Rattus norvegicus: one gene and its partners. The protein of the gene in region 1 purifies or fractionates together with the protein of each later gene. This does not show direct contact. Links are inferred from orthologs where the notes say so. Each region holds a gene or a part of one and is shown in the gene's direction. Other genes may lie near its edges. The genes, in order: Ywhae, Cdk18, C1qbp, Mark3, Brd1, Pabir2 and Crtc2.

Region 1 (4,530 bases):
AAAACAAAAAAACCCCACAAACATATTCACATAACATTTGGGCTTTTAAAGAAACCAAAACTCACTACAATCTCCTTTCTTTTTCTGTGTGTGTGTTTCGAGGTAGGGTATTTTTAGTCCAGGCTGGCCTGGAACTTGTGGCAATCCCTCTGTTTCTGGTTCCACAGTGCTGGAATTATAGGCGTGAATCACTACTTCAGCAAATATGTAATACTTTTCTTAAGTATAATTATGATGATGTCATCTTCCACTCAGAATCATCAAAACACGGCTTACCCGGCTAGGACTATAACTCAGTGGTAAAGCTCATGCTCGAGGCTCTGGGGTCAGTCTCCGCACTTGAACAAGACAATTCCTGTCGGTTCATAGGCTAAGATGCAAGCCTCTCAGCTTGTGACCTCAGGCCTACGGTAATTTGGTCCCAACCTTTCTATTTCACACTTTGAGGCCCTTTTCTTGCATGGCTCAGCAGCAAGCAGATATTGAGTATAAGATGTTGAAAATCCATTGGGAAGCAGAATAGGCATGGCCATTGCAAATGAAGCAATTCCCATTGAGAATTCTTTATTTCTTTTTTTTTTTTTTTTTTTTTTCTTTTTTTTTTCGGAGCTGGGGACCGAACCCAGGGCCTTGCGCTTCCTAGGTAAGCGCTCTACCACTGAGCTAAATCCCCAGCCCCGGCGAGAATTCTTTATTTCTAACTCATCCACATCAATTTGCCCTTACTCAGGTGCACCTTGCACTCCGAATGAGGCAAGCCACTTTCTTGTCTTTTTTCCCTCTAGTGAGGGTTTCCCTTAATTAGTTTAGATTGATCACTTTTTCTTTCTCTTTCCTTTCTGTGTGGTTTGTTTATTTTTGAGATGGGGGTTTTTTACAATGTAGCCCAGGCTGACCTGGAATTTGCTTTGTAGATGAGGCTGGATCCAAACTCGATCCTCCTGCCTCTACCTCCTTAGTGTTGGGATTAAACGCACGCACCAACGCACATGAGTCAAAAACAGAGGCTTTTTAACAAAAGTCCTATCTATGATAGGCCAAAGAGATAAAAATACAGCTGGAGGGGGAGAAGAAAGTGCTTACAGTGTGTGAGCAAGAGAGATGGTGATGCGTGAAAACTCGAGCTCTCCCTTCTTCATTTCTCAATTCTTTACCTAGGGGTTCAAAGGACCTGAAAAGGGCACACGGATGAGAAAAATGTGCTAGAGTGCACAGGGCAGGTTGATCTCAATGAGGAAGGCCTGCCGTAGCAAGAATTCATAAAGCCTCTTGCTCTGTCGCCCACAGGCCAGCCCGCGGTTGCCTAGCACAGGCTTCTGGTTTACTCCCCTCCCGCAGTCTAAGCCGACCTGCCTCCAGCCGCTCCAGGGGCCGCTCTCTGTCGCAGTCGCAGTTCCCGCCTCGCCGCAGAGTCGCCCGCTGAGCTGACGGAGGAGGGGCGTCCGTCGTGCAGGTTCCAGCCTTTTCTGGCGCCGAACTCCCGGACCCGCCCCCCCGCGCCAGTTGCCAGGGAGCGGTTGCCATAGAGCTGAGCAGTTGTCCGCGTGCGCAGGCGGAAGTCCCGGATTGAGGCGCCGCCATTTTTACTGCTCGGACGCGGAGCGAGAAGCTGAGAGAGTCGGAGACGCTATCCGCTTCCATCCGTCGTGCAGACCCTGCCGGAGCCGCTGCCGCTATGGATGATCGGGAGGATCTGGTGTACCAGGCGAAGCTGGCAGAGCAGGCCGAGCGATACGACGGTGAGTTGTGGGGGTGTCGGGGGGCTGGAAGTCTCGGACCCTCCGCCGCCGCCCACAGAGGCCGGGAACCGGAGACAAAATGGCGGCATCGTCTCCGAGCCTGGCTTGGGACGTGGGTCGGGAAGCAGGAAATGGCCTGCGGGCTCCCGAAGCGGTGGGAGTCTCCGGGCCTAGGAATTTGACCCCTCCGGTGTCCTTAGGTTGCAGACGCTCGCCAGCCAGCAGGCCGGGGTGTAGGGTGGAGGAGTTGGTTGTAAAATGGCGGCTGGAGGGGGAGGGCGAGTCCCCGGGCGGGGGAGGGGGAGGAGATGGCGAGTGCCGTCTCCCGCCGTGCAATCCCCACGGGAGGTTTCGGGATTGCGGCGGGGTGTGGAGGACAATTGGGTGGGGTGGTGTGAGAAATAGCACGGGTCACTCGGGAGAGGGCGGAATCTAGGAGCTGTAGCTCCGGCGCCTTTCAGGGAAATATGGCGGGTGGGGGCGGTGGCTTTTCCCCGGAGGCCCAGTGTGGGGCGGCGGCTGTGGAGCCTCACAAAGGAGAAGCCTCCGGAGCGGACGGCTTCTTTGGGCCGGTGGTGGAGAGTAGTCTTTGGTGAGGGTGGAGTGTTTGGAAATCACTGCAGACTATCCTTGGGTGGAGGCAAGCTGAGATGCTGCGATTGGATTTCTTCCCTTTGGCCGACACACCTTGGATTTGAGGGTTTGGGGAGGTTTTCGGCCTCACCTTCTTCCGGGGAGGTGCACAACCTCACTCATGCTCCGTTTGTTCTTACCCCGGATATCCCAAAGTTCCTGCGTTTGGCCCCCCAACCCCCAACCTTCACAAGCATGGAGTTCTGATGGATAAGAATACAGGAGGCCAAGGCTTGCCTTGACTCCTTAGTACTGATTGCCCTTTGCAGTGCCAGTGCCTCAGTTTACCCGTTTGTAAAATTGAAGACTTTACTATTCACACTTAGCATTATGAAACATAGACCTGTTGAGAAATAGTTAATTCAAATAACGTTTAGTAACACGTTTGGTTGACAACCTAAGTTTGGAATGCATGTTCTTGCTTGGCTTGGGGATCCTTACCTATTTTGAGCACTCAGTTGGGGCTTGGGGATTTTGAATTAGGAATGTAGAAGATTGTAGTTTTTTTTTCTTTTTCTTTCTGTTTTATGATTTCATTGTTCCATGAGTGAGGCTCGATCCCAGGGTTGCATGCAGGCAAGACAAGTGCTCAAATATTGTGCTACACCACAGCTCTGTTTTATCTATTTTAAGTGAATGGTTTTATGTACAAATTTCAGTAGTTACTCTTTGTTCATTTGACACCCCCCTCACCTCCCGGTGATGGAACGTAGGCCCTAGTATGTGCTAGATGAGTGCTCTCCTCTCAACTTAGCTACATCCTTAGCGCCTGCTAATTTGAATTCAGTCATTTTTGAGAATTTCATTGACATCTACTGTGCTTGTGTAGCCTAGGTACAAAATTCTAATTTTGTAACTAGATAACTGGAGTTAGGCAATAGGCCGTTAAGCTAGTCTTTAAAAATGAAAAGTCACACACATGGTTCCTGTGATTTAATTAATTGCTGTGTAGCTCTGGCTGTTCTGAAACATGCTATGTAGACCAGACTGGTCTTGAACTCCCAGAGATCCATCTCTCCTGACACCCTCCCCCTCCCAGGCTCCCCCCCTCCCCCCCGAGATTAAAGGAATGAACACTAAGACTGGGTCCTGTGAGTTTAATGTTTAGGGAGTGGTAGGGTCGAATGAGACAAGTTTTGGAATTAAGTGTTCCTCATGTTTTTTCCAAGTTAAACCATTTGCTTCTCAAATGCTAGGTCAGGCCCTTTTTCCTTGAATGCCAGTTTCTCCTGTGGTGACTTTTGAACTAGTCATACGTCTTTGCCAAAGTCACCACTGTTCCAGCATTTGGAAAGTAGAACAGCAGGCTTCAAAACCTCCAATTTAGGAAAGATGATGAACTAAATTTTGTCTTGCAGATTTTTTTTTTTTTTTTGGTTCTTTTTTTTCGGAGCTGGGGACCGAACCCAGGGCCTTGCGCTTCCTAGGCAAGCGCTCTACCACTGAGCTAAATCCCCAACCCCTGTCTTGCAGATTTAAGTTTGTACTGAACTAGGCTCCGGTTGGGAGCTGGAGGAGGTGGGACGGGGAATACTACTGCAGCTCCAGGTGAGCCTTATCTGTAGTGTGTTTTGAACCAGGAGAGTTGGCTGTAGTGGAGGTTTCACCTCTCACCTTCCAGAAGAGCCCCCCCCCCCCTTGTGTTCTTGGGAGGAAATGTGAAATTACATTCTGGTAATTTAGGCTTTATGTAAATATGATACCCCCAACCCCCCAAAAAAAGGAGGTATGGGGAAGCTTTTTGATTCGTTTCTAAGTCATTTTAAAAAGGGATTTGCAAATAAGATTGTATTTCCAAATAAATGACAAGTTAAACCATACTTGGGGTTTGAATGATGAAGATTTTTGACCAAAGCCTGGCCTTGTTGGCTATTGAGTGTCGTGTTGTAGAAAAGCCATGTGGTGACTGGCCCCTTTCAGACACTAGATGAGGGAAGGAAATAGGAAGCACTCCTGTGATTTGGTGTAAGAAAAGGGAATCAGTAGAAAGGGAGAAGGCATTCATAGGAAGTGATCACTCCTGCATTGACTGGTAACTCAGTTTTGTTAGTGTAACAATTTGATTATAGTCACTGATTGTAGTAGTGATCACTAAGTAAATGCCAAGGGCAGTGAAAGAATGCATTGGAAATCCTCTGAGTTTTGGGTACTGTGTAAA
Region 2 (4,468 bases), on another chromosome or scaffold:
GATTCTGGAGGGGCCTGGTTGCCTTGGCAACTAGGTGCTAGCCAGCCACAGGCCTGAGCATCCTCCAGAAGTGGGTTAGAAGTAGGCCCAGGGAGGAGTGCAGATGGCCCCTCCCAAAACAGGGATGTCTGTTGCCTTCCTGATGCCTTCCTGGCCAGGATGGAGAGGTCAAGAGTTATATAGCCTCTGGTTCCTGCAGCCCCACTGTAAGTAAAGGCATTGGGGGCCCCAGGATGGAGATATGGCTGTAAAAGATAGCCTATAGCTGGTAGAAGGTAGGCCTATAGGAAAAGCATGATGGCCCATGCCTTTAATCCCAGCATTCAGGAGGCTGAGGGAAGTGGATCTCTGTGAGTTCTAAGCCTGCCTGGTCTATATGAGTTCCAAGCCAGGCAGAGATTCACAGTGAGACTATCTCAGAGTAGAGATAGAGGAAGGGGAGAGGGAGGGAGAAAGAGAGAGAGGGGGGTAGGGGGCTAGAGAGGTGGCTCAGTGGTTAAGGACACTGACTGCTCTTCCAGAGGTCCTGAGTTCAATTCCTAACACCACATGGTGGCTCCCAACCATCTGTAATGGGGTCTGATGCCCTCTTTTGGTGTGTGTGAGGGCAGCAACAGCGTATTCCTATTCATAAATAAATCTGAGAGAGAGACAGAGAGAGAATAGAATGAAGTGCCCACCTGTAGAAAGCAGAGTTCAGAGGGCCAGCTCCTGCCCCAGTGTCCTCAGGCGAGAGAACCCAGGCTTGCTCAGAGGACTGAGGTGATGGACGGTCCAGCAACATAGGCGTCCCCTTTCCCCATCTGGCTGAGTTTCCCACTCTGTCCCTGACTTGCACACCGCATCTGCATCTGCAGCACAGGTGGAACTGGGCCATGCATTTACTCTCCTTCGATCTCCTTCCTAAGGACCCAGGATGAGCCAGAGAGGGGACATTCTGGTATCAGTGAAAGAGACCACGGAGTCTGAAACCTGCTGACAGGTGGCCGGCAGCTGCCAGTCCGTTAGGCTCCTTCAGAAAGAGCAGATGGCCCGAGGGCCGTGCAGTTCTGACATCCTGCCCTAGAGATCTCTAGACCCCCTGGAGGCTGAATGTCTGGAGTGGCCTCTTGCAAACCTGTAGCTATAGCTATTGATGCCGTGATGCCAGGGGAGGGAATATTCATGGTCAGAAGATAGCTGAGGGTCACTGGAGAAGGGAACAGGGTTAGATCCTGCAATCATGGAGCTGTGGCTCTGGTCACGGGAACCTAAGCATGCCACGTGCAGAACCTGGCTCCCACGAGTCCCCTGTCCACATTGCCTTGTTCTCTCCTCTCTGTCCCAGGACCCACCTTGGACCCCTGCTGATCATGAACAAGATGAAGAACTTCAAACGAAGGCTTTCCCTGTCAGTGCCCCGCCCAGAGACCATTGAGGAGTCATTGACCGAGTTCACCGAGCAGTTCAACCAGCTCCACACTCAGAGGAATGAGGGTGAGGGTCAGGCCACCTAGCTCTTTCCCACCCAGACTCCCTGTGACTGCTGCTGACTAGCTGACATTAAGGAGAAGGGGTGGTGTGCTCTGGGCTGGCGACAGACTGTGGAGTGGGAGGTGGGGACTGACACTTGTCCCACTCAGACATGCCACTCAGTCCCGTGAGCTGTAACCAAGCGTGTTCTCGCCCACAGACGGCAGGGACGAACCTGGGCAGCTGTCTCCGGGCGTGCAGTATCAGCAACGGCAGAACCAGCGCCGATTCTCCATGGAGGTGAGGGTGCCCCTTCCAGGCTGCACGGGTCAGGCATACATCACAGCGGTATATATACATGGCAGGGTGGGTGCAGCTTATTGTGGATAAGTGTGGATTATTTGGCGAGGATATATGCCAAGTGCTAGAGCATTCTTGGTTAGACAATAGACTTTTTATTTTTTATTCTTCGGATATCTTTTATTTACATTTCAAATGTTATCCCCTTTCCTGGTTTCCCATCCATAAACCCCCTGTCCCCTCCCCCTCCCCCTTCTTCTATGAGGGTATTCCCCCTCCCCTACACTGGGGGTCCGGCCTTAACAGGACCAAGGGCTTCTCCTTCCATTGGTGCCCAACAAGGCCACCCTCTGCTACATGCAGCTGGAGCCATGGGTCTGTCCATGTGTACTCTTTTTTTTTTTTTTTGGTTCTTTTTTTCGGAGCTGGGGACCGAACCCAGGGCCTTGCGCTTCCTAGGTAAGCGCTCTACCACTGAGCTAAATCCCCAGCCCTCCATGTGTACTCTTTGGATGGTGGTTTAGTCCCTGGGAGCTCTGGTTGGTTGGTATTGTTCTAATGGGGTAGCAAACCCCATGGTTTTTTTTTTAATTTATTTTATTCTATGTATATGAGTTACACTGTCACATACACCAGAAGAGGTCATCAGACCCCATTACAGGTGGTTGTGAGCCACCATGTGGTTGCTGGGAGTTGAACTCAGGACCTCTGGAAGAGCAGTCAGTGCTCTTAACCACTGAGCCATCTCTCCGGCCCAAACCCCATGTTTTTATAATCCACATACCCATGCCAAGTATAGGAAAAAATGTGCTTATGAAATTACATTATCTGTGACAGGGTGAGATATATGTTCTACTGTGGCCCAGAGAGGAGAAGGAACCGTCTAAAGGTCACACAGCAATCCTTGCAGGGCCACAAATGTTCACCCTTCAGGTGGTTGTGAGCCTGAGGTCATAGCCTGTGGCTTGGCCTTCCCTATAGGGACAGATGATCCAGAATGAGAGGCAAGGGCCTCCTGGGGCCAACATGATGTTCCTATCCCATCTGCCACCTCAGGACCTCAACAAGAGGCTCTCTCTGCCCATGGATATCCGCCTGCCCCAGGAATTCCTGCAGAAGCTACAGCTGGAGAACCCAGGGCTGCCCAAACCACTCACCCGAATGTCCCGCCGTGCCTCCCTGGTGAGTCCAAGAGTGTGAGACACCAGTGTGGGAAGACACTCCTGGCCTTCTTCACCCCAGCTGAAGCCTGTAGTGGTTTCCAGAAAGCTTCCTATGCCTCTGGCGCCACCTGCTGGCCCCTGAGGATTTTGATAAGTAGTCTCTCTAAGTCAAGGACACACCTGGGCATGGAGCCTACAGTCCCTGAGTCCCCTGGGAGCCCCAGAATTTCCCCCACTTAAGACCAATAAACCACTTAACTGGGCTACATAGTTCCAGGTCAGCCTAGGGCACACTGTAAGGTTCTATCGGAAACAAACAAAACAAACAAAACCAAAGCAGGAGTATCTGAATAGGGTTCAAGTTGTGTTTTGCTATGCAGAGATGTGGTTTGAGCATGTGAGCATCTCCGGAGAAGCCACTGTGTACATCCACAAGTTCACTAAAGGGAACAAAGTCCAAAGAGCAACTGGACTCACTTTGATGGAGCGAGATAGGCAGTCAGTACTGTGTGTCCAGCCCCACGGAGAACATTGATTAAGGAAACATTTTCCTGGCCAATGAGAAAAAAAGCCCACACCTCCCCAAAGCGGGGAAAACCCTCAACTATGGTCATCTATTCCTGCTAGAAGGCCACACAATGTGTTATATAGCACACATATGTTATGTAATGCTTAATAAAAAATGAAAGACCTCCCAAATAAAATGAAACAACAAGCAAAAAGCCAACCACATAGAAACAAACAAAAGACCCATCGGCCCGCCCACCACAGGTTTTCAGTCCCAGCTGCCTGTTAGGAGCTTCTAGGAAGCCTCTCTGGTGAGTGGGTTTCACATCTTTTTGTGACTCATCCTGACCAGAGCTGGATGAACTGATGGCTGGGGAACTGGGCTCTGAGGTGGACTCCCACATAGTAGAGAATGACGGGCCCTCTCCCGAGGAGCTGGTAACCTGAGCTGGCAGGCAGCGAGGTGGCAATGGGCAGGCCCGGCATCTCAGTGTACCTATCTCTGACTCACGGAAGAAGGAGTCCCTATTTCCAGAGGGCCTCCAGCTTTCACAGGGATGAAGGGAGGAGAGAAAGAAGGTTTTGAAGCTGTCCTTCTTTGAACTATTAGCCTTGGTTCTTCTCTATAGGATGGGGGCATCTCTCTTCCTTCTCTCCTGGGAACTGGGAGGGAACATTGACTAGGAAGGTCTGCTGGGGCTTTGAATCTCACAGTCTCCCGGGTCTGCTTCCCAGTCAGATATCGGCTTCGGGAAACTGGAAACATACGTGAAACTGGACAAACTGGGGGAGGTAAGAGACCGACGTTGCCCTCTCTGGGCAGCAGGTAGGATGGTTTTGACTCTGTTCTGCCCCTCGTGGCTCCTGACCCATGGAGTCACATTATCCTGGGGAAGCAGCCTGGCCTAGCCTCCATGGATGTTGTTATATGCCCTATGCCCTGCTCTTGAGGACAGAGGTCTCTGCACAGAATCTAGTCTTTCTTCCCCCCTTCAAGTAGCTATGGTTTGGATTTGAATCTTGTTTCTTTCACTTGCTAGTTCCAT
Region 3 (4,358 bases), about 4.9 Mb from region 1:
TGATCTCAAACATAAGAAACAGTTCTTGTATATAATGCTCAAAAATTACTTTTGACTATTAAGTCCATAAAAACCTGAATCTTGTATACGATCTGTGTGGCCTCTTATTTTGGGCCTCCTTTCCCTTATTTAAAGAATGCTGTTTAGAATATTAAACAGTAGTTTCATTGCCATTCATTCAGTAAGACTCGGTATCCAACATTTGCTTTTGGTGTTTTGAGAGGTCTTTTATGTAACCCTGGCTGTTCTGGAACATGCTGTGTAACCAGGCTGACCTTAAACTCGGCTGTTTGCCTCTACCTCCCAGATGCTAGGACCAGAGAGCATGAGCGGGGTTTTTGGGGTGTGTGTGTGTGTGTGTGTGTGTGTGTGTGTGTGTGTGTGTGTGTGTGTGTGTGAAATTCGGTTGGTTAAATTTTGTTTTTGTTTCTTGGGTTGGGTTTTGGATTTTGTTGGTTTTGTTTTGTGTGTGTGTGTTTCTAATGTCCTTGAGAGTTTTGCCTGCATGTCTGCACTACGTTCGTTCATGGTGTTGGTAAAAGTCAAAAGAGGGTGTCTGCTGCCCTGGAACTGGAGGTAGATGGTTGTGAGAAGGCGTGTGGATGCTGGCAATAGAACTCCAGGCCTCTGTAAGAGCAACAGTGCTCTTAACCACTGAGCCCTGTCTCCAGCCTGTTATCCCTGATTCTCAACCTAAATGTGATGATGAAAGCCATCTATTCCTGCTCCCCCCCCCCCAAAAAAAAACGATGGTCCATTAAAACCGGTACACGAATTGTTAGGGGGTGCAGAGGTTTCCAGCATAAATCCTTCATCCTGTTCTTGGGATTCTGGGTCTAATGTGAGGCCTGGATGCCCACTCCACAGCAGCTGCATGCAGGTCAGTCTGAGCTTTTCAGAACTAGGCGGTTTCAGAAGACCGCTAAGTGATCTTTGTTGGGATGAGACCTGAGCGTATTCCACGAAGTAACAAAGTGTGGCTTGGGTTGAGAAAAGCAGGTGAATTGGGGAGAACGGGCAGCAAGGGAGATTTGATGGCCAGGGTAGAATACAGCTGAGCCAAGGCCTCTCGGGCTGCGCTGGCGGCTCCCAGCAGAGGGCGCGGTGCGGTCCGGCCCGGGTACTGCAGTCCTCCGACGTGGATAGCGCTTCCCGGGCGAGGGCGGGGCTTCCGGCGGCTCGCGAGGTCACACGGTGTCTTGGCCCGGTCGTCCTTCCCTTTGCACGTGTCCACCCCGCGATGCTCCCTCTGCTGCGCTGCGTGCCCCGCGCCCTGGGTGCCGCCGCCACGGGCCTCCGAGCCTCCATCCCGGCCCCGCCGCTTCGGCATTTACTGCAGCCCGCGCCCCGGCCATGCCTCCGGCCCTTCGGTTTGCTCAGCGTACGAGCCGGCTCCGCTCGGCGCTCTGGCCTCCTGCAGCCCCCGGTTCCCTGCGCGTGCGGCTGCGGCGCTCTGCACACGGAAGGTAAGGTTCACGCACCCTAGTCGGAATGCGGCGATCCAGCTCGGAACTGGCCCTCATGATCGCAGGTTCCCCTTCTCGCGTCTTGAAAATGTGGCTTAGCAAAGTCGGTAGGGTCGTGGTTTCAAAGTGTGGTTGTTGGGTCCACGTCTTTTTGGACATGGAAGAGGATAGTTGGAAATTCTTTTGTTTTATACGGGAAGTAATAGTAATGAGTTCATGATGAGAAATAACCATCTCATGATAAGTAATATCAGTTCAGCTCAGTAAATATATCCTGGTGTTTTTATAGAGTGAGGAACGGACGTTTTGAGGCGTGATTTACGCTACAGTCTTAGAACAGCCTTAAGAATAGATTACACGCAGTCCGAGTCAATCGGTTAGAGCAACTACCTTTTCTCACTGTTGATCATTTTGGCCTTTCTTTTAGGAGACAAGGCCTTTGTTGAATTTTTGACTGATGAAATTAAGGAAGAAAAGAAGATCCAGAAGCATAAGTCCCTTCCCAAAATGTCTGGAGATTGGGAGCTGGAAGTGAACGGCACGGAGGCTAAATTATTGCGCAAAGTTGCCGGAGAAAAGTAAGTACTGGCCCAGGGGTTGTATACTGGATTCTCAAGTCAGAAGTTCCTGGTTACAGCATCCTGTTCTGACCATCCCCAGAAGAGCCTGAGCTTAGGCCCAATGCTTTGATAAAATGGCTTTAAGAAAGCATTAAACTTGGGAAAGTTCTTAGGTTCCAGGGAGTGCATTCACTGAATGAATACAAGCTTCTATGGCTTGTATTAAGGAGACCTGAAGCAGCTCCAGAGTATGTAGAGGGAAGCCTGTGGGAGGGGCAAACGCAGTTATTGGGTTATTAATGAGGGGTGCTGTGCCAGTCTGGATTAAGCATTGGGTTGTTGTTTTGTTGTTTAATAGTACTGGTAAATCATTTGTTTAGAACTCCCGTCTGGCTTGTGTTTATAATAGTTGAAAGTGCACGTGTGTAACTGTTAAGTCACAGGAAGAAGTTACCATGTAGAAAGGCCATCAGACAAAGGGAGAAGGTTCTTAGCCAAACTTAGCTCTTCCTCTCCTCAAGGGATTCGGTTTGAGACAAGGTCTCTGTGTGGCTGCTGTGTAGCATAGACTGGGCTCAGACTCTGGGTCCTGCTGCTTCAGACACCTGTGTGCTGAGGTTGCAGACATGCGCCACCACACCTGGCACCCCTAAAACCGTTAAACCCTTGTCTGTGCTGTTTCGTGTTACCCATTCACCCACAGTCTTCCTTGGCTAAGTCTACTTGGACTCTTAAGTGCTTCTCTAGCTTGTGTGAGGCTCCAGGATCCATCCCCAGTGCTTCAGGAGCACAGTGTACAAGAAAGTTTTATTGGGGGTGCGGGGGTTTATAAGCTTAGCAGTAAGTGTGTGTGTGTAGATTAGAAAGTTCAAGGCCAGGCTGAGTGTCGGTGGGGCTCACCGCCTTTAATTCTATCACCCTGGGAGGCATAGACAGGTAGATTTCTGTAAGTTCAAAGCCAGCCTGGTCCACCAGCAAGTACTAAGACAGCCAAGGCTACACAAATAAGTCCTGTCTTGAAAAACCAAAATAAGAGAGGGAAGGAGGGAGGGAAGGAAGAAGTAGGTTTAGTCTGGGCTATCGCAGGTTGTACATGCCCTTTGGTTCACCTTGCCATTCTTTTTTCGGGGGCAAAGTGGCAGCAAGGCATTGCCCAGTTGGACTCCAGGGAGCAGCCCCCAGTACACTCTTCTTGGGTTGGTTGGCCCTCTGAATCTGTGTAAGCGGAACTTCTTTTCCAGGTGTTGAGACAAAGGAACTGTCTCTGACTTTAGAACAGGTGCTGTCCATCACATAAGAATTCTTACAGTCACACAAGGGCCAGGGTGCAGCTGTGAACTTCCGCCAAGCATGGGCAGGGTACTTATTTGAGCTCCAGAATCCCCCCAGAAGGGAAAGAAGCCACTAGGTGTTTCAGTTCCTAGTTTGTGGTTGTGCAAAGTGAATCTGCTCTGCAGTGGCTGTGAGGCTTTCCGGGGCAGATGGCTGTCCACCTCCATTAGCTTCCATGGGAAGACCCCAGGACACCAACCTGGCAGCTTCATCCACAGCTGTAGTCATTTAACTTGTAGGTACACTTCAGATGAAATTCTCTTCACTTCCCTGTGTGGCTAGGATGGAGACATTGTTTCAGTGGGCCTTGCTCTCCTGTTACCACTAGGTTAATGTGTACCTTGGTGTATCTCTACCTGCCTTTCTAGGATCACTGTCACTTTCAACATTAACAATAGCATCCCTCCAACCTTTGATGGTGAAGAGGAGCCCTCACAGGGGCAGAAGGCCGAAGAGCAGGAGGTAAGCAGTGACATGGCAGACAGCCAAGATTTCTGTCCCCAAAAGCAAGAACTGTTTCACTTTCACTCTTTTTAAAATCCTCCCTGCTAGGGTGAGGTGAAGGGTGAGCCTCCTGAGACCTGTAATGCAGTCATTCCGAGTGAGTTTTAGCTGGAGTTGTGGATGGACCATGTTTGTAGAGTGTTGTCCCCTAAGGGCTTAGGGTTTATCACGGGCCTGTGCCCTCACCCCTGCCAGTGTTGGGGAGTGGGGATACTTAGTATCCAGAAGCTATCGTTTGGAGTGTTTTCAGTGTGAAAGATGACAAGTGGGTAATCAACACTAGTCATGTGACCAAAATAGGAAGGCCGGGGGCGGGGCTTTTTAAATTGTGTTTATTTGTATGTTTGGGGCTTATGCGTGCAATTGTAGAGGTCAAAAGCAACTTATAGGAACGTCAATTCCATCCTTCTGCCATGTGGGTTCCAGGGTTAAACATCAGGCTTTGGCAGCAAACACCGGTGAACCACCTTGCCAGCTCAGCCTTAAGAGATTTTTA
Region 4 (3,036 bases), on another chromosome or scaffold:
GCCTTTTGGTTTCTTGTTGTGTGAATACGGAATCACAGATCAGCTCCGGATTCTGTGTCTGTAGTGGTAGGCGGCCTCCTGCTGTTCTTTCCAGTACAGGCTGCTGTGGTGATACCTTTCCCAGTGAAAGTCTTCCTTGATGCCTCCTGCTTGACTACTGTCTCTGAGGCACTGAGCACTGTGTAGGCTTCCCTTTAAGGTGGAGGTGAGGAGGTATTCTCCTCCCAGGCCTGTCCCAGCACAAAAGCAGACGCTGCCTTTCCAAATATGTATTGCCCCATCCACCACAGGAAGGTGGTGATGGCACCTTCCTGCCTCCTGGTATAGAGCAAGACAAGGCTTGCAGTGCAGGTGCTCTGTAAAGGCCAGCGCTTTTCAGCACGTCACTTTGATCTAGTCGGATGGGTCTTAAGTGCATTCTGTACTTTCCTACCTCTGCATTTGGTGGCAGTATCTCTGTTCAGAACAAAAACTCATGAGTCATGGTGCATACACCTAGAATTTGTACACTTGGGAAGCAGAGCAGGAGGCCCAGTGGGTCAGGGCAAGCGTGAGCTCCATGAGATGCTTGTCAAAGAAAGAAAACAACAACCCTGAAACTGTTTGTAGTTAAGGTGGATTTTATTATTTTGTGTTGCTTTCTACCTCCTCACGTAAGGTTTCCTGATCCCAAAAATGCTTGTCTCTGTAGCCTGTGGAGTATCTAACGTAGCAATTTAGCTATGCTTTGAGCCTCTCACCTTGTGCAGACCACTCATTTCAGTTCTCCACAGACGGGTGAGCTGTAGCAGTTCATTTCCCTCTGTCTCATTAAAATGACATCATCTAAGTTGTGGGTCTTTGTAGTGCTTGGTTTTGCCCATCTTGAGATGGGCTTCACTATTGTTCAGATCACCTCAAGCTCATGGCTTCTTTCTCGCTTCTGAGCAGCTGATAGCACAGGAACATGGCCTGGGTGTTTTCAAGAATGAAATTAGAATTGTAACAAAGGAGAGAAACAGTAAAAAGGTAGATGGTGATGAGGGAGAATGGATGGCTTTCCTGTGCACTCTGATTCTGACTGAGGGACAGCAACACTAAGCTGGGAACACCGAGTCAACCTCTGAGCACTGGTGTCTGTGGCGCTCATGGCAAGCACAGCTATTAGTAATAGAGAAGCTGTGTGTGATAGAGCAGGAGGTTGCTGGTCTGCACCCGCCCAAGTACAGGAGTGGACTCTGTTTTGCCTGATTTCACAGATTCTCAGGACAGATGGCTCCTGGACGTTTTCCAGCCAGGTAGAATTTTGCGTGCATTCTCTATGTTCAGGGTTGGAGATACAGGTGTGTGTGTGCCTCTGGTAAATGTGCATGGGATCAGTTGTGTGAGCTGAAGAAGTTGATGAGTAGCTAAAGTTTAAGAAAAAAAAAAAAGGTTCTTTTTCTAGTGCAATTAAAAATCACCCTGCCTGTGCATTTCAGTCGCAATGTATCTTCGGAACAAAAGGATGAGAACAGAGAGGCCAAACCTCGGTCCCTGCGCTTCACCTGGAGCATGAAAACCACTAGTTCCATGGATCCCAGTGACATGATGCGGGAGATCCGCAAAGTGCTGGACGCCAATACCTGCGACTATGAGCAGAGGGAGCGCTTCCTGCTCTTCTGTGTCCATGGCGACGGGCACGCTGAGAGCCTGGTGCAGTGGGAGATGGAAGTCTGTAAGCTGCCAAGACTGTCTCTGAATGGGGTCCGGTTTAAGCGGATATCAGGGACATCCATCGCTTTCAAAAACATTGCTTCCAAAATTGCCAACGAGCTAAAGCTGTAACCCAGTAATTATGGTGTAAATTAAGTAGCAAGCAAAGGTGTTTCCAGAGCACTGATGGAAATGTGTAGAGTAATATTTAGGCAATAACGTGCATCTTCTAAATCATGACATTAAAGTCTGAGGACGAGAGCGGGCCTGGGAGCGAAGGCTGGCCTTCCCTGCGAATGCACTACATTAAAGTCTGTGACCCCGTGCCTCTGTCTTGTTTCCATTGCCCTGGGGGTCAGAGTGTGACACCGTCTGCACCACGAGACCCTGTGTGTGCTGTGAGTGGATGGCTGTGTGGGAGCCGTCTCCTCGAACTGGCAGCCAGCATTACTAGTACCTCTGCGGGAGATCATTTGGTGCTAAAACATTACAATTGCCAAGAAGGAAAATACTGAATTACTGCTAAGAATTAACCTTAAGACTAGTTGATAATTAATACAGGTTTACAGTTCATGCCTGTGGTTTTGTGTTTGTTTCGTGATTTTTTTTTTTTTTGCTTTTTTTTTTTTTTAGTGCAAAAGGTTTAAATTTATAGTTGTGAACATTGCTTGTGTGTGTTTTTCTAAGTAGATTCACAAGATAATTAAAAATTCACTTTTTCTCAGTAAAACCTTGCACTGTCTCCTAATGCTCTACTGAAGCCTTAGCTCAGGCAGTCCTGCAGCTCACTGCTGCTCCTCCCACTGGGCACAGACGTCCCCCACACCCCCAGCTTCGGGTTTGAAGCACCCTTTCTCCCAGCCCTCCTGGTCCCTGGGAGGGGGTGGTGCAAAGCCTCGAGCAAACGCCGGGCCCTGGCCTCACTGAGTTGGGTTTTTTTCTGTGTGGTACCTGATAGTCCTCACCCTCCCTGTGATTCACACATAAATCACACCTACAGCTTCTCCCCAACACCTACATGGGTAGATATAGGGGTGGGGAAGTGAACTTGACACAAAGAAGTTGTCACCTTGATTGAGAGTGCTGTTTTAGGTGGTTGTGGCCTGGGGCATGCAATCTGGACTAGTGCTTAAGTCACGGCTGTTTGTTGTCCTGTCTGCTGTGGTCAAGACAACGCAGATGAGGACCTCGGAACTCAGATTGCAGCAGTCAGTCAACAGCAAGAGTCAAAACTTAGTGCTAGAAAGATTGCTGCGTGGTTAGGAGCATGTACCGCATCTGCCAACGGCTGGTTTTGATTTTCAGCATCCACATATGGTGGTTCACAATCACCTTCAACTCTAGGTCCAGAGGATCCAGCAC
Region 5 (3,819 bases), on another chromosome or scaffold:
TAGTGAACCGCTGAGGAAGAGTGTTTTGGTAGATTATCAGAATGGAATGCCGTTAGTATAGTGGTGGGGCCTTCAGCTGTTGGCTTCTTCTCCTCTGCATACATAGGAGCATAGAACAAAGGGCATGGGATGCCAGTGTCCCTGTGGGTAGCTTCCCTAGAGAGGTGGATCTGGGAGGAAGAAGAGGCTACAGGAAGGAAGATAGGAAGGAGGTGATAAGGGAAGGAAACAAGGCTGGCCCCCTGATGGTCATCCCTGTCAAAGGGCAGGCCTTTGCACAGGACATTGAGGCCGTCAGAGAGAGGGAGCACCGAATTGTGAGGATGCAAGCTCTGTGGTGTTCTGGGCTGGGTCATTCTAGAATTACCAGAAGGGAAGTAGAAGGCTTTGTCCATGGCAGAGAGGTCTGCTCTGCTGTGTTGGACCAGGCAGGACATGAAATTGGAAGTTGTAAACTATACCCACATTGTCTTAGTAAGGCTTGATGTAATGGCCCTGAGCCTTGCCTTTGACATCGTGTATGCTCCGTCTCAGCCTGGATCTATAGACTAGAAATACTGAATGTTAGAATTTGACTTACCTTTGACTTTAGCTGTCTCTGCTCAGCCCAGCTTTGGAAAAAGGCTGTGCGATTTCTCTACTGTGACTAACCTTGTGGAGGATGGATGAGGCATAGGGATGGTGGGACAGGATGAGCTGCTATGAGAGGACATCACTGACGTTGGTGTTGTGGGGAGTCTTTCACTGTGGTGGCTAGAAGCTTCCCAGCTGTGCGGTGACTCCGTAGGCCCTACTCTGGTAGGAAAGCAGGCATGTTGCTTGTGCCCTCTGCTGAGGTATAGTAGGAGGTGGGTTGGTGTGGCTCCTTAGATTTGGTCCAACAGTTTGTCAGGTGCAAGCCCCCATTCATCCTGTTTTGGTTTTTTTTTTTTTTTTTTTTTAATTTCCTGTTTTCCTTTCCCTCTAGCTCTGGGCCTCTACTTGTACCCATTTATTCATAGAATTCTGGAAGTCTTGGGTCTGACATGGCTGAGCCTAGCTGCCCTTAGGGTCATGGTTGAAGTGTATGGGAGCCACTGCTGCCGATCTGCTGTGTGCTTCACAGATACGCTGACCAGTTCTCCCAGTACAGGGGCCCTTGGCCTCACTGCTGGACTGGTCCTTGTCACAGGGCTGGGTTTCTGCCGTCCTCCTTTATCCCAGCACTAGATCGTGACCTGTGTTAGGAGTGGAAACACTGAATGCTTGTGCTCTTCTTGGGCGTGAGCTTCCTCTTCTCAGAAGTCTCTCCTGGAAGACTCCCAGCATTGGTTGCTATGTACCAAAGTAGACTGCTTCAGGATCGTACTGGGAAAGCTGGTTCATAGATGGGATGGTTGGTGTAGATTGGTGTACAGGGTCCTGTCTTCATGAGCCTGAGGCATGTTGGAGTACAGACAGTGGCCCAGTTACCCCATGACCTTATAAAGATTAAAACCAGGCCACGAGCAAACCACCGAGTTTTGCCTATCCCTAAATACTCAAGCTCAGATCTATTGGCAATCGGGAGATTTCTTTTGCTTCATGGGGGTTCTCTGTGAGTAACCAAGTCTGTTTCTAAGTAGCAGATAGGAAGTTGTCCAGATGTTAGGGTATTAGTTTCTTTTTTCTTTGTTTATTTTTGAGACCGGGTTGACCTGGAGCTTGCTATATATGCTGGCCTTGAACTCATAGAACTCAGTCTCTGCCTCCTAAGAGTTGAAATTAAAGGTGTACATGGACACACCTGGTGGTGGTTGGTTTCTGAACCTCCCTTTCCTTGTATTTACTTACTTGGCCTATATGAGATGATACTGTCATCAACCCCAACTAAATGCTTAAGAATTGTCGGTAATATCAGGTACAGCGTACATTACTGTGGGTGCTGAAGTATGTGCATTGAGACAGATCATGCCATACCCATTCTGTGCTGTCATTTTCAACCATGAAGAGTGGCTGTCGACAGAGTTTTTGGTCGGTGACACTTTTCCCTGAGATCCTCCATCCTTGACCAGTGTGCTGGTAGCTTGGGTTGCAGAATCTCTGCTGTGGTGTCATTGGGCTGTGAGAGGCAAAACTGTCCAGAGAGAGAAGGGTCTCATGTCTGTGTTCTACAGCTGGCTGTCAGCACTTTGCTCGTGGTTGACAGATGTGGCTATTACTGTCCAGTAGTGCAGAAACTTTTGGGTAGGCTATTCTCCATCCCTTTACCATAGGGACAGGACACTGTGTTACTGCAAGGAGGTCATCCCATGTCTTTAACACAGAATAGAGAGTGGGGATATAGCTTTGGATGATGACTATTGTGTTGGATGAGGACCCGGGTCTTGGACAGGCTCACTATGGGGTGGCAGGAAAGAGTGATATCTGGGTTGGGAGAGCAGAGCTCTGGGGAACTTGGTTTAAATAAGATGCATGGATTACTGAGAGGATGTGGCATGTTGAATTTCTTAGGAAGTGGCTGGAAAACCTGGTCCTTTGTAGATAGGGCTCTGGTCTTGTTTGGTGTCCTTGGTTGCTATCGAGGGACATGTGCTATCCCTGTGGCATTGGCTCTTGTCCCCTGTACATTTGTGAGGTAGTAAGAGTACCCTTTGGACATTTCAGCCTTGAGTGGCTCCATCAGGAGTCTGTCGTCGTCTTCTTTTTTTTTTAAATTTATTCATTTATTATATATAAGTACACTGTAGCTGTCTTCAGATACACCAGAAGAGGGCATTGGATCTCTTTTTTTTTTTTTTTTTTTTTTGGTTCTTTTTTTCGGAGCTGGGGACCGAACCCAGGGCCTTGCGCTTCCTAGGCAAGCGCTCTACCACTGAGCTAAATCCCCAACCCCGGATCTCTTTACAGATGTTGCAAGCCACCATGTGGGGTTGCTGGGAATTGAACTTAGGACCTTTGGAAGAGCAGTCGTTGCTCTTAGCCGCTGAGCCATCTCTCCAGCCCGGGGTTTCTGTCTTCTTAATCCTGCTTAGAACTCTGAGCTTCTCAAGGATTCACATCCCATGTGACCAGGCAGAGCCCCACTGCTTTTCTGCTACTGTCTGTGTCGCTTGACTTCCCAGTGCTGTACTTTTTGCACATTTTGATGGTTAGGGTAGAGAGGGGCTGGTGCAAGATGCTGACCAAGTTAGGAGAGGTGCTATCTGGTGTACTGCTCTGTCACCTGAGAAGGCAGCTGTGACTGGCAACTACAGTGCCCATGCTAGTCTATGGGGTTAGTTAGAAGTGATCCCTACACTTACCTGCCGAGCCCCGAACTGAGCCTGTGTAATATTCCGCTGCCAGTAAGGATTGCTTAGGTTTGTACCTTTTGTACATCTCCTTTCTAATACTCCCTCCATTCCTACCTCCTGGAGTCAAACCAAGACCCCTTGTGCCGTGGTCCCATTAGACCTTCCTGTTCCTTGTCACTGGGTCCCAGGTCCTGTTACCCTTTTAGTCTCACTTGTTGTATGAGCTTGTTAGACCCCTGGCAGGAACTTCTGGCTTTGACTGATGGAAAGTTTCATTTAATTTTCTCAGAGAGAAAATGATGAAGAGATGAAAGCTGCCAAAGAGAAGCTGAAGTACTGGCAGCGGCTACGGCATGACCTAGAGCGTGCCCGCCTGCTGATCGAGCTGCTGCGCAAGCGGGAGAAACTCAAACGGGAGCAGGTGAGTGTGTGGGGCCCTCGGGAGCTGCCACCTTCAGGGCTGGCTCTCTCTAGATGGACATCTTGCTGCTGGCCCCTGTGTACCTGCTGATTCTGTGTGCTGTCCCCTCCCTACAGCATATCCCTACCTTATAGTTGGTCCTGT
Region 6 (3,819 bases), on another chromosome or scaffold:
AAACCTCAAATTGGCCAAACTCTGTTGCTTTTAGAAGCTATGGTATAAGATGTGGTGGTGAGCCATCCAATTTACCTTCACACAGTTGCACAAGCCCTGCTCTACATGGACCTAAGTAATGACCTGAGGTGGGCGATGTGCCTGCAGTCTCAGCTTCTATGACCATATATTGTTCTGCCAGGTTAACTAGAACAGAAGCCCGGTCTCAGTTCAGTAGCAATATCTACTTTAATCTTTACTATGTTTTGAAGCTAAATTATCGTGGAGACAAAGTGTAGCTATGCCACTTTTCCAACAGTGAGAAAAATAGACACTTTCAGGTGTAGTGGTGAAGAAGACATTTCTAAATGTTCAGGGTTTTTTTTTTCTAGTTGGTAACGTCTCTGTCAGTATTTTTTCTTGTAAGTAATCAACAATGTTAAGAAAACCATTTCACTGCATAGTCTTATTTTGTTTTGGAATGAATACAGGAGTCACCTAAGCTACCAGGTCTTGGTACATAAAATCTTCTAATCCTAGGCTTGTTGTCATTCTGCTGTGTGCAATAAGGAATTCTTTCTCTATCTTCAGATTAACTGGTGGCCAAATTTTAATCTAAGTCTTTTTCTTCCTGCCAAATGGCATAGAGCATGCCCTTGTGCTGCTTGGCCAATATGTGCCTTAGGAAAGTCAATTCATTTTAATATTAGTCTAGGCAGAAAGCTGCAGGGGAAAATCCACATATGTTCCAAAGGCAAATAGAAAGGTCCTTTTGATTTTCCAGTGTCTTGGATTATCTGTGTGACTTTTTTCACTTGTTGAATAATTCATATTTTTGGACCATTTGGCCATGTAGTTTAGCAAATATCAGTGCCAACTTAGTTTTCCAGACTTCTTCCTTAAAAGTGGTATTATTAATGATGCATTTGACAGCCATGCACATAGTGTAGGGGCAATGTGGAGTAGACTATTTCCATTTTTAAATTTTAGTCTTCCAAAACCTATTTGTAATCTGTCTCCACCTAAAAACAACCCCCAGGCAACAGAAAGAGATGGCAGAGGGGACTGTGCTGTAGCTCCACTCATAACATGCTCGCCCAGCATGTGTGAGGGCCTAGGCCCCATGCTTAGCACTGCAGGTAAAATCATGAAAGAAAGAGATGACATTCACAAAGCATGAGTAGAAAGGCAGGAGAGGAAAGGTCGTCTTTCAGAAGGACAGTGTAGGCCAGAGACTTACAAGTGTACTGTAAGCTTCTTTACAATGGAAAGAAATCAACTTGGAAACTTACACAAATATCAAATTATCAAATCAAAACATTTCAATCCCCCCTATAAGAACAAAATGGGCTTTGGCCAAGGAGTTAGTGGCAGACTAGAACCCATATTGCCTTGAGTCATAATTCCTTCTCTGATTCTATGTTTTTCTTCCATTTCAAAAAATAAAAAAGTCTGTGTAAACTTAAACTGCCGGACTACTCCTTCAGCTTGGCTCGCACTATGTTCTCTTGACTCTATCCTGCCTCTGTACTTGCTTGCTTTTAATTCCAGAACTATCCTTGCTTCTTCCTAACCCTTCCCGACTTAATGCCTACTCACCTTTCACATGAGAACACAGATCTCACCTTGGAGAATCCTTTCACTGTTACTCCACATTAGATCAGATCAGATTCTTATACTCCCTGAATCTTTTTTCTGTGTATTACTCATGTCACAAAGTGTAATTATTTTCATATGAACTTGAATAGTTAAATCTCTGTCTCCTCTACTATCCTGTAAATCTACCTAACTTCTCCACTTGGTGGGCACTTAGTAAATATTAGAATAAGTGAGTGAGTAAATTCAAGGCAAATGCAGAACATAGAGCTCTGAGAATCGAAGCAAGAAAGGCAGCTCGATGTCAGGCAGAGGCTTTCATTTCCATGAAAAGTATAAAGAAACCAATTTTTTAAGGTGGGACAAGGTTGATTGTGGGAACAGTGAGCCTCTGGGCTGGGTGGGAAGCATATTCCTGGGATGGCTTATGGAGGCCCTTGGTGTCCGCATCAGTTTCAGAGAGAAGAGGAGACCAGAGGCCAGCTGTTCAGATTAAAGGGATGTGATGGGGACTGTGAGAACAGAGCATTTCAGAAGCTTAGCTGGAGAGGAGCTGAGAGCTGGAAGAAAAGGAGGCTTTTATGGGGAGCAGGGGGATCTTTGGGTCTGAAAGGAAACAGGAGAACAGATTCATAAAATGAGAACAGCAAAGGGGGAAATCATTCAAAATATGTGCCTTGAAGCCTCTTGGGTGTGGGCAAGCAAAATGGTCAGTTTGGGGGCAGTTGAAAGACTTTCCTCAACAAATAGCAGTGCTATGTCTGAAGGCACACTCAGCAAGTTTGAGAACAGATAGCTTAGTAACTATTAAGAACAGCAGTTTTTCTTGCGCTAGGGCTCTTGAAAGGTAAGAAGATAAATATGAAGAGAGAAATGGTTTAGACAGAGGTCAGGACCCCCTTCATAATAAACATGGCACGTCCAGAGGAACACTTATCATATGTCAGTCAGGTGCCTACAGAAGGAAAATCAAATAATACAGGATGGCACGGCACGTCTCACTTTGGGTTTCTGTGGCTTTATGAATTTCACAGCTCTCTCAACATAGTGCAGTATGCATTTCGGCGCTGTGGCCTTTATGCTTCTTCTTAGTTACCAATGCTGTACTGATGCGTGTGTCCTTGAAATCATGTCATTGCATGTTATGTTGACCCTGATACATGCATTCGCTTATAATTCTTTTTGCTTTGTCCTCAGTTCAGATATTTTGGATGGCAGTAGTGTCAGCAGTGGCTTGTCCTCAGACTCACTGGCTACAGGCAGCGCTCCCGCAGAGTCTCCAGTAGCATGCTCCAATCCATGCTCTTCGTTCATCTTGATGGATGATCTCTCACCCAAGTGACTTACCCATTTCTGATTGAGTGTTTTAACTGTTTCCCACATAAAACATTCAGTGAGGAATGCGGAGAACTTTGATCCACAGTGGGGATTAAAGTTTGGCAGATTGCAACCATTCCGATGATGCGCCTATTTCTGGGCATCTCTCCTCTAAAGTTCAATTTTGCAAGCAGTCACCTTACTAACATCTGTTTGGGCTGACCTCATTTTGCCTTTGATGACTAAAACTCAAATACACATTTTTGATTGCTTGGATGACTTTTTTCCCTAGTGCCTCAAAGAGCACCTACTTTCAAACATTTAAGGGGAACACTAATGCATATTTTCTATAATTGTTCATTTCCCTCACAGTGGCAAAACAGAGTTGATCAGAAATTCTCTTGCTTGAGAGATTGATAAAAATTCTGTTGACTACATACTTTCCCATCTCTTTATTTCATGGTAATATTCAAATTGTTTTTGATTGCTATCAAATTTTCATTTCTTCTGCATCAGCTTTAAAGGACATTGTTTTGTTTCCCTTGCCTGTTTGAGCTGCTTCCTTGCCATTTCTCACCATGGGGAAGAAACCCATAGTCGCTTCCATCACCACCCATATTGCTTCTTTGCTATTGGAATGTATGCAGTGGAGAGTGATTGTAGAGTGGAGAATGTGACTAGACTCACAGGATGCCTGCATTAGTCACCCCAGGTTCTTAGGACATTGCTACCACAGTTGTTATTTCTCTCCCCAAACCTGGTGCCTTAAGGAATATGTAAAATATTGTTGATATTTCTAGGTGGTGTTATCAAGGAGAAGAAATTCCTGCCTTGACCAGATGTGTGGAGCATCTACAAATGAACGAATAGTTATTTACACAAAGCACTGTACAAAAGCAAGCGTCCATGAAGCTGTCAGTGTCTTGG
Region 7 (3,819 bases), on another chromosome or scaffold:
CTTGCCCAGAATGGTTTTTCAGGCAGTAGGAGCTCATTGGTTAGGAAGCTGCAGAAGGGCTGGGTGGGTTGTTTGTACCAGGTCTTGCTTTTCCCCATCACTGCCTTTGTACTGATATATCTTAGGAAGCAGTAGTGTATTCTGGTGGCAGAGATGGCCAAAGGGAACAGTACTTAAAACCTTTCTTGACGTACCCGTTTGTCTTTTTTATCTCAGTTACAGGCCCAAAAGCTGCGACTGGCTTATACAAGGAGCTCCCATTATGGTGGTTCTCTGCCCAATGTTAACCAGATTGGCTGTGGCCTGGCTGAGTTCCAGGTGAGTGGACACAAGCCAAGGAGTGTAGGCTCTCAGGCTACTTCCCCTGCTGATTCACCTGTCCTTTTGGCAGAGCCCCCTTCATTCACCTTTGGATTCATCTCGGAGCACTCGGCACCATGGATTGGTGGAACGGGTACAACGAGACCCTCGCAGAATGGTGTCCCCACTCCGCCGATACCCCCGCCACATATCCTTCAAGAGTGACTTAAGGGCAGAGGAATGATAGGAAGGGGCTCTTTAGAGACTCATGGAGGGAAGGAGCTTTCTCCTTTATTTGCTCAGTTCATTTTTCTCCAGTTCTTTTACGCAGCACAGACTCTTGTGATGGACAGCTGGTGTTTCCGTGGCTCTGTTCTCCTCAGTGCTGGTCCTGGCCGGCCTTACTTCTGCTCCCTCGATTGTAAAGCAGTAGGACTCCCTGTTACCTGGGAAGGAGATTCAGGCCCTTCTCTCATTCTGTTGTGAATCTTCATTCCTAGAGACTCTACCATATTCGTCCCCCTAACCCTTCTCAGGCATTTGCTTAGATTGTTCTGACTCTACTAAGCTAGGCCTGATTCTTTTCCTTCCTTCCTTCCTCCCTCCCTCCTTCCCTCCCTCCCTTCCTCCCTTCCTCCCTTCCTTATTTATTTAACCCTCTGAGCATCTCTCTATGTAGTCCTGGTTGTCCTGGAGCTTGTTATATAGACCAGGCTGGCCTATGTAGGTCAGGTAGATAACCTCCTGCCTCTGCTTCCTAAGTGCTAAGATCAAAGGGGTGTGTTTGTTTTTTTGTTTTTTGTTTGTTTGGTTTTGGTTTTGTTTGGAGATGGTTTCATTCTGCAGTCTGGGATTTTCTGAAACTTGGCAGATCAATCAGGTAGGGTTCAAACTTTTGGTGATCTCCTTGGCACACACTTGGGATCACAAGTGTAGACCACGATGCCTTTTTTTATTCCGTTTTGCTATTTGCTTATTTTTGTGGCCCTAGGACCTAACAAATTAGGTGGCCTTCACTGAAATATAACCCTGGTTTCTCTTCTTTCTTCTTTCCTTCTGTTCGTGTGTGTGTGTGTGTGTGTGTGTGTGTGTGTGTGTGTGTCAGTCACAGCATCTCACTATATTGGGATTACAGCAGTGTAACTGACTTGTATTACTACATGCTGTCTCTTATTCTCATTTGTTCTCTCTACTGTTTTCCTTAACTACAGCTATTTACATTGACAGTTCTCCCTATAGCCCTGCCTACTTATCTCCTCCCCCTGAGTCTGGCTGGCGAAGGTGAGTCGAGAGCAGGTAGAATTTCTCCCCCTTAGTCTCTGACATGTTCCAGAGTGGCTGAGGTGGGCTAGGTACTGGGCTAAGGTATCAAAAGTACCTCCTCCTGTAAAGGCCAAGCTGGGAGGGTGGGGCAGCTGGGTAGGTGGTCAGAGTCCAGACTTGGCCATGTTGACACGAGTGGCCAAGCCTCTTAATTCAGCAAGCAGAACCAATGGAATTGTAGCCAAGCTGGGGTGTGTATAAGTGGGGGGAGGGGAGAGTGGCAGGGTGGCAGGTGAAAATGGCTCCTTTTTCATAGTAGTGGATGCCAGGTGTAATGCTGTAACCCTGTCAGGTGTTTGAGCCCCTCCTTTTCCCATCTCAGCTCCAATATTTGTGTCCAGGAAACTTGCTAGGCTTCAGTGTTTCCACTCAGCTTGTGTTGCCAGAGAGGAGTTTCTGTATCCAGTTCTTAGATTGAGCAGGGGTGGGAGGCTCATGGATCAAAGGCATCAGAAGAGCCAGAAAGAGGCAGGATCCTGGGTACTAAGGCCTTTGTGTATCCACCCTGGCTGCTGTACATTTTTCCTACCCCCTTGCCTTTCTCGTCCATTGCCAGCGCCTTCTTCCTCCTGATAACATTTCTATCCTAGGATGATGCCCTGGGGCAACCTCCCAGCTGAGAAGGGGCAGTTGTTTAGACTGCCATCTGCACTTAACAGGTGACGGTCCTTGATTTCTTTAGTCCACATCTCTTCCTTGTACTTTCTGGGGCCCTATTCTATCTACTCTACCCCCCAGTTCTGGACCAGTTTGAATACCCCACTGCTGGGCAGTGTTTGGTACCTGGAAGACTATTACTGCTACTCATTTCTGCTCCTCCAACAGGACAAGCTCTGACTCTGCTCTTCACACAAGTGTGATGAACCCTAACCCCCAAGACACTTATCCAGGCCCTACACCTCCCAGTGTCCTGCCCAGCCGGCGAGGAGGTAGGTGGTCCCAGGGAGTAACTGTGGGGTTTTCTAGTAAAACAGACAAATAAGTAGGCACTGCAACCGCCCCTGTTGCACCCCATGCAGGTTTTCTGGATGGCGAGATGGATGCTAAAGGTATGTGTGTGTTCTTGACCAGTTGTAAATGAGTGCCAAATGTCTTGGGCAGAGTGGGTCAGGGAACAGTATTCCCTCTTGGCTACCTTTGCTTCTTGTCCTGCCTTACTGGATCCTTCTCCAGCTTTCCCATCACCAGTCTTTCTCTTTCAAGTCCCTGCTATTGAGGAGAACTTGGTAGATGACAAGCATTTGCTGAAACCTTGGGATGCTAAGAAGGTAGGTAAGGGCCACTGGGTGTCTTCCACTATCCCTCTGCTCTCCTCTTTCCCTGGGACAGCCCTTCCAGGGTCCCCCCCTGAGATCTGTCCTCATTTCTAACCCTCTTCCTTCTCTTCTCAGCTGTCCTCATCTTCCTCTCGACCTCGATCCTGTGAAGTCCCTGGAATCAAGTAAGTAGCACTATATAGCTGATGTGAGATGGAGGGAAGGAAAGAGATAAGAAAGACTGATTTCTGCTCTTCTCTGACCACTTTCTCTTTGCCTGTCTTTCTTCTTCTGTCTTCCCTAGCATCTTTCCATCTCCTGACCAGCCTGCTAATGTGCCTGTCCTCCCACCTGCCATGAGCACAGGGGGCTCCCTACCTGACCTCACCAACCTACACTTCCCCCCTCCACTGCCCACGCCCCTGGACCCTGAGGAGACAGTCTATCCCAGCCTGAGTGGGGGCAACAGTACCACCAATTTGACTCACACTATGACCCATTTGGGCATCAGTGGAGGTCTGGGCTTGGGCCCCAGCTATGATGTACCAGGTGAGTGGTTACCTTGTCCTGGTCATGTGACCAGGCTAGACTGTGACATGTGACATGGCTAGAAGGGTGAAGGGGACAGAAACTTGATCTGGGATCCTGTGACTGCCCACCGACTCCGCACCTCATAACCCTCATTGTAATTCTCACCAAGCAAGAATGGGTAGGTGTGACTTTTCCTAGAAAAAAAGACAGACAGTAACCCCCAAATGGGTAGTGCTGATCCAAGGTCAGGGACAGAGTAGGGAGTACCTCGTGTTGCTATAGTATGGTCACTGCTACCCATTCTGGTCGGAAAGGAGCTGAGCTCCCATCAGTAATATTGGCATCTCTGGTTTTTTGTCTGTGTCTGCAGGACTTCACTCACCTCTTAGCCACCCGTCCCTGCAGTCCT

Evidence for each region.
Region 2: the proteins of Ywhae (region 1) and Cdk18 purify together in Homo sapiens (affinity purification with mass spectrometry; 3 studies listed by BioGRID and IntAct, with this or other methods). This does not show direct contact. The link is inferred for Rattus norvegicus from reciprocal best matches to the Homo sapiens genes YWHAE and CDK18.
Region 3: the proteins of Ywhae (region 1) and C1qbp purify together in Homo sapiens (affinity purification with mass spectrometry; 4 studies listed by BioGRID and IntAct, with this or other methods). This does not show direct contact. The link is inferred for Rattus norvegicus from reciprocal best matches to the Homo sapiens genes YWHAE and C1QBP.
Region 4: the proteins of Ywhae (region 1) and Mark3 purify together in Homo sapiens (affinity purification with mass spectrometry; 9 studies listed by BioGRID and IntAct, with this or other methods). This does not show direct contact. The link is inferred for Rattus norvegicus from reciprocal best matches to the Homo sapiens genes YWHAE and MARK3.
Region 5: the proteins of Ywhae (region 1) and Brd1 purify together in Homo sapiens (affinity purification with mass spectrometry; 3 studies listed by BioGRID and IntAct, with this or other methods). This does not show direct contact. The link is inferred for Rattus norvegicus from reciprocal best matches to the Homo sapiens genes YWHAE and BRD1.
Region 6: the proteins of Ywhae (region 1) and Pabir2 purify together in Homo sapiens (affinity purification with mass spectrometry; 3 studies listed by BioGRID and IntAct, with this or other methods). This does not show direct contact. The link is inferred for Rattus norvegicus from reciprocal best matches to the Homo sapiens genes YWHAE and PABIR2.
Region 7: the proteins of Ywhae (region 1) and Crtc2 purify together in Homo sapiens (affinity purification with mass spectrometry; 3 studies listed by BioGRID and IntAct, with this or other methods). This does not show direct contact. The link is inferred for Rattus norvegicus from reciprocal best matches to the Homo sapiens genes YWHAE and CRTC2.

Annotation. Positions count from the first base shown.
Region 1 is NC_086028.1:61,081,375-61,085,904, forward strand, and holds the start of Ywhae (14-3-3 protein epsilon), read left to right. Parts: upstream 1-1,559; 5' UTR 1,560-1,675; coding exon 1,676-1,739; intron 1,740-4,530. UniProt on the Homo sapiens protein: Adapter protein implicated in the regulation of a large spectrum of both general and specialized signaling pathways. Binds to a large number of partners, usually by recognition of a phosphoserine or phosphothreonine motif.
Region 2 is NC_086031.1:46,114,152-46,118,619, reverse strand, and holds the start of Cdk18 (cyclin-dependent kinase 18), read left to right. Parts: upstream 1-1,352; coding exon 1,353-1,476; intron 1,477-1,672; coding exon 1,673-1,752; intron 1,753-2,808; coding exon 2,809-2,934; intron 2,935-4,157; coding exon 4,158-4,214; intron 4,215-4,468. UniProt on the Homo sapiens protein: May play a role in signal transduction cascades in terminally differentiated cells.
Region 3 is NC_086028.1:56,200,067-56,204,424, reverse strand, and holds the start of C1qbp (complement component 1 Q subcomponent-binding protein, mitochondrial precursor), read left to right. Parts: upstream 1-1,239; 5' UTR 1,240-1,240; coding exon 1,241-1,466; intron 1,467-1,893; coding exon 1,894-2,044; intron 2,045-3,726; coding exon 3,727-3,820; intron 3,821-4,358.
Region 4 is NC_086024.1:136,535,006-136,538,041, forward strand, and holds the end of Mark3 (MAP/microtubule affinity-regulating kinase 3), read left to right. Parts: intron 1-1,460; coding exon 1,461-1,806; 3' UTR 1,807-2,404; downstream 2,405-3,036. UniProt on the Homo sapiens protein: Serine/threonine-protein kinase. Involved in the specific phosphorylation of microtubule-associated proteins for MAP2 and MAP4. Phosphorylates the microtubule-associated protein MAPT/TAU. Phosphorylates CDC25C on 'Ser-216'.
Region 5 is NC_086025.1:121,681,112-121,684,930, reverse strand, and holds part of Brd1 (bromodomain-containing protein 1), read left to right. Parts: intron 1-3,543; coding exon 3,544-3,675; intron 3,676-3,819. UniProt on the Homo sapiens protein: Scaffold subunit of various histone acetyltransferase (HAT) complexes, such as the MOZ/MORF and HBO1 complexes, that acts as a regulator of hematopoiesis.
Region 6 is NC_086039.1:137,910,460-137,914,278, reverse strand, and holds part of Pabir2 (PABIR family member 2), read left to right. Parts: intron 1-2,772; coding exon 2,773-2,917; 3' UTR 2,918-3,692; coding exon of another isoform or gene 3,693-3,762; 3' UTR 3,763-3,819.
Region 7 is NC_086020.1:178,010,195-178,014,013, forward strand, and holds part of Crtc2 (CREB-regulated transcription coactivator 2), read left to right. Parts: intron 1-216; coding exon 217-318; intron 319-391; coding exon 392-508; intron 509-1,517; coding exon of another isoform or gene 1,518-1,519; coding exon 1,520-1,581; intron 1,582-2,213; coding exon 2,214-2,282; intron 2,283-2,448; coding exon 2,449-2,552; intron 2,553-2,642; coding exon 2,643-2,672; intron 2,673-2,796; coding exon of another isoform or gene 2,797-2,826; coding exon 2,827-2,891; intron 2,892-3,014; coding exon 3,015-3,064; intron 3,065-3,183; coding exon 3,184-3,428; intron 3,429-3,780; coding exon 3,781-3,819. UniProt on the Homo sapiens protein: Transcriptional coactivator for CREB1 which activates transcription through both consensus and variant cAMP response element (CRE) sites.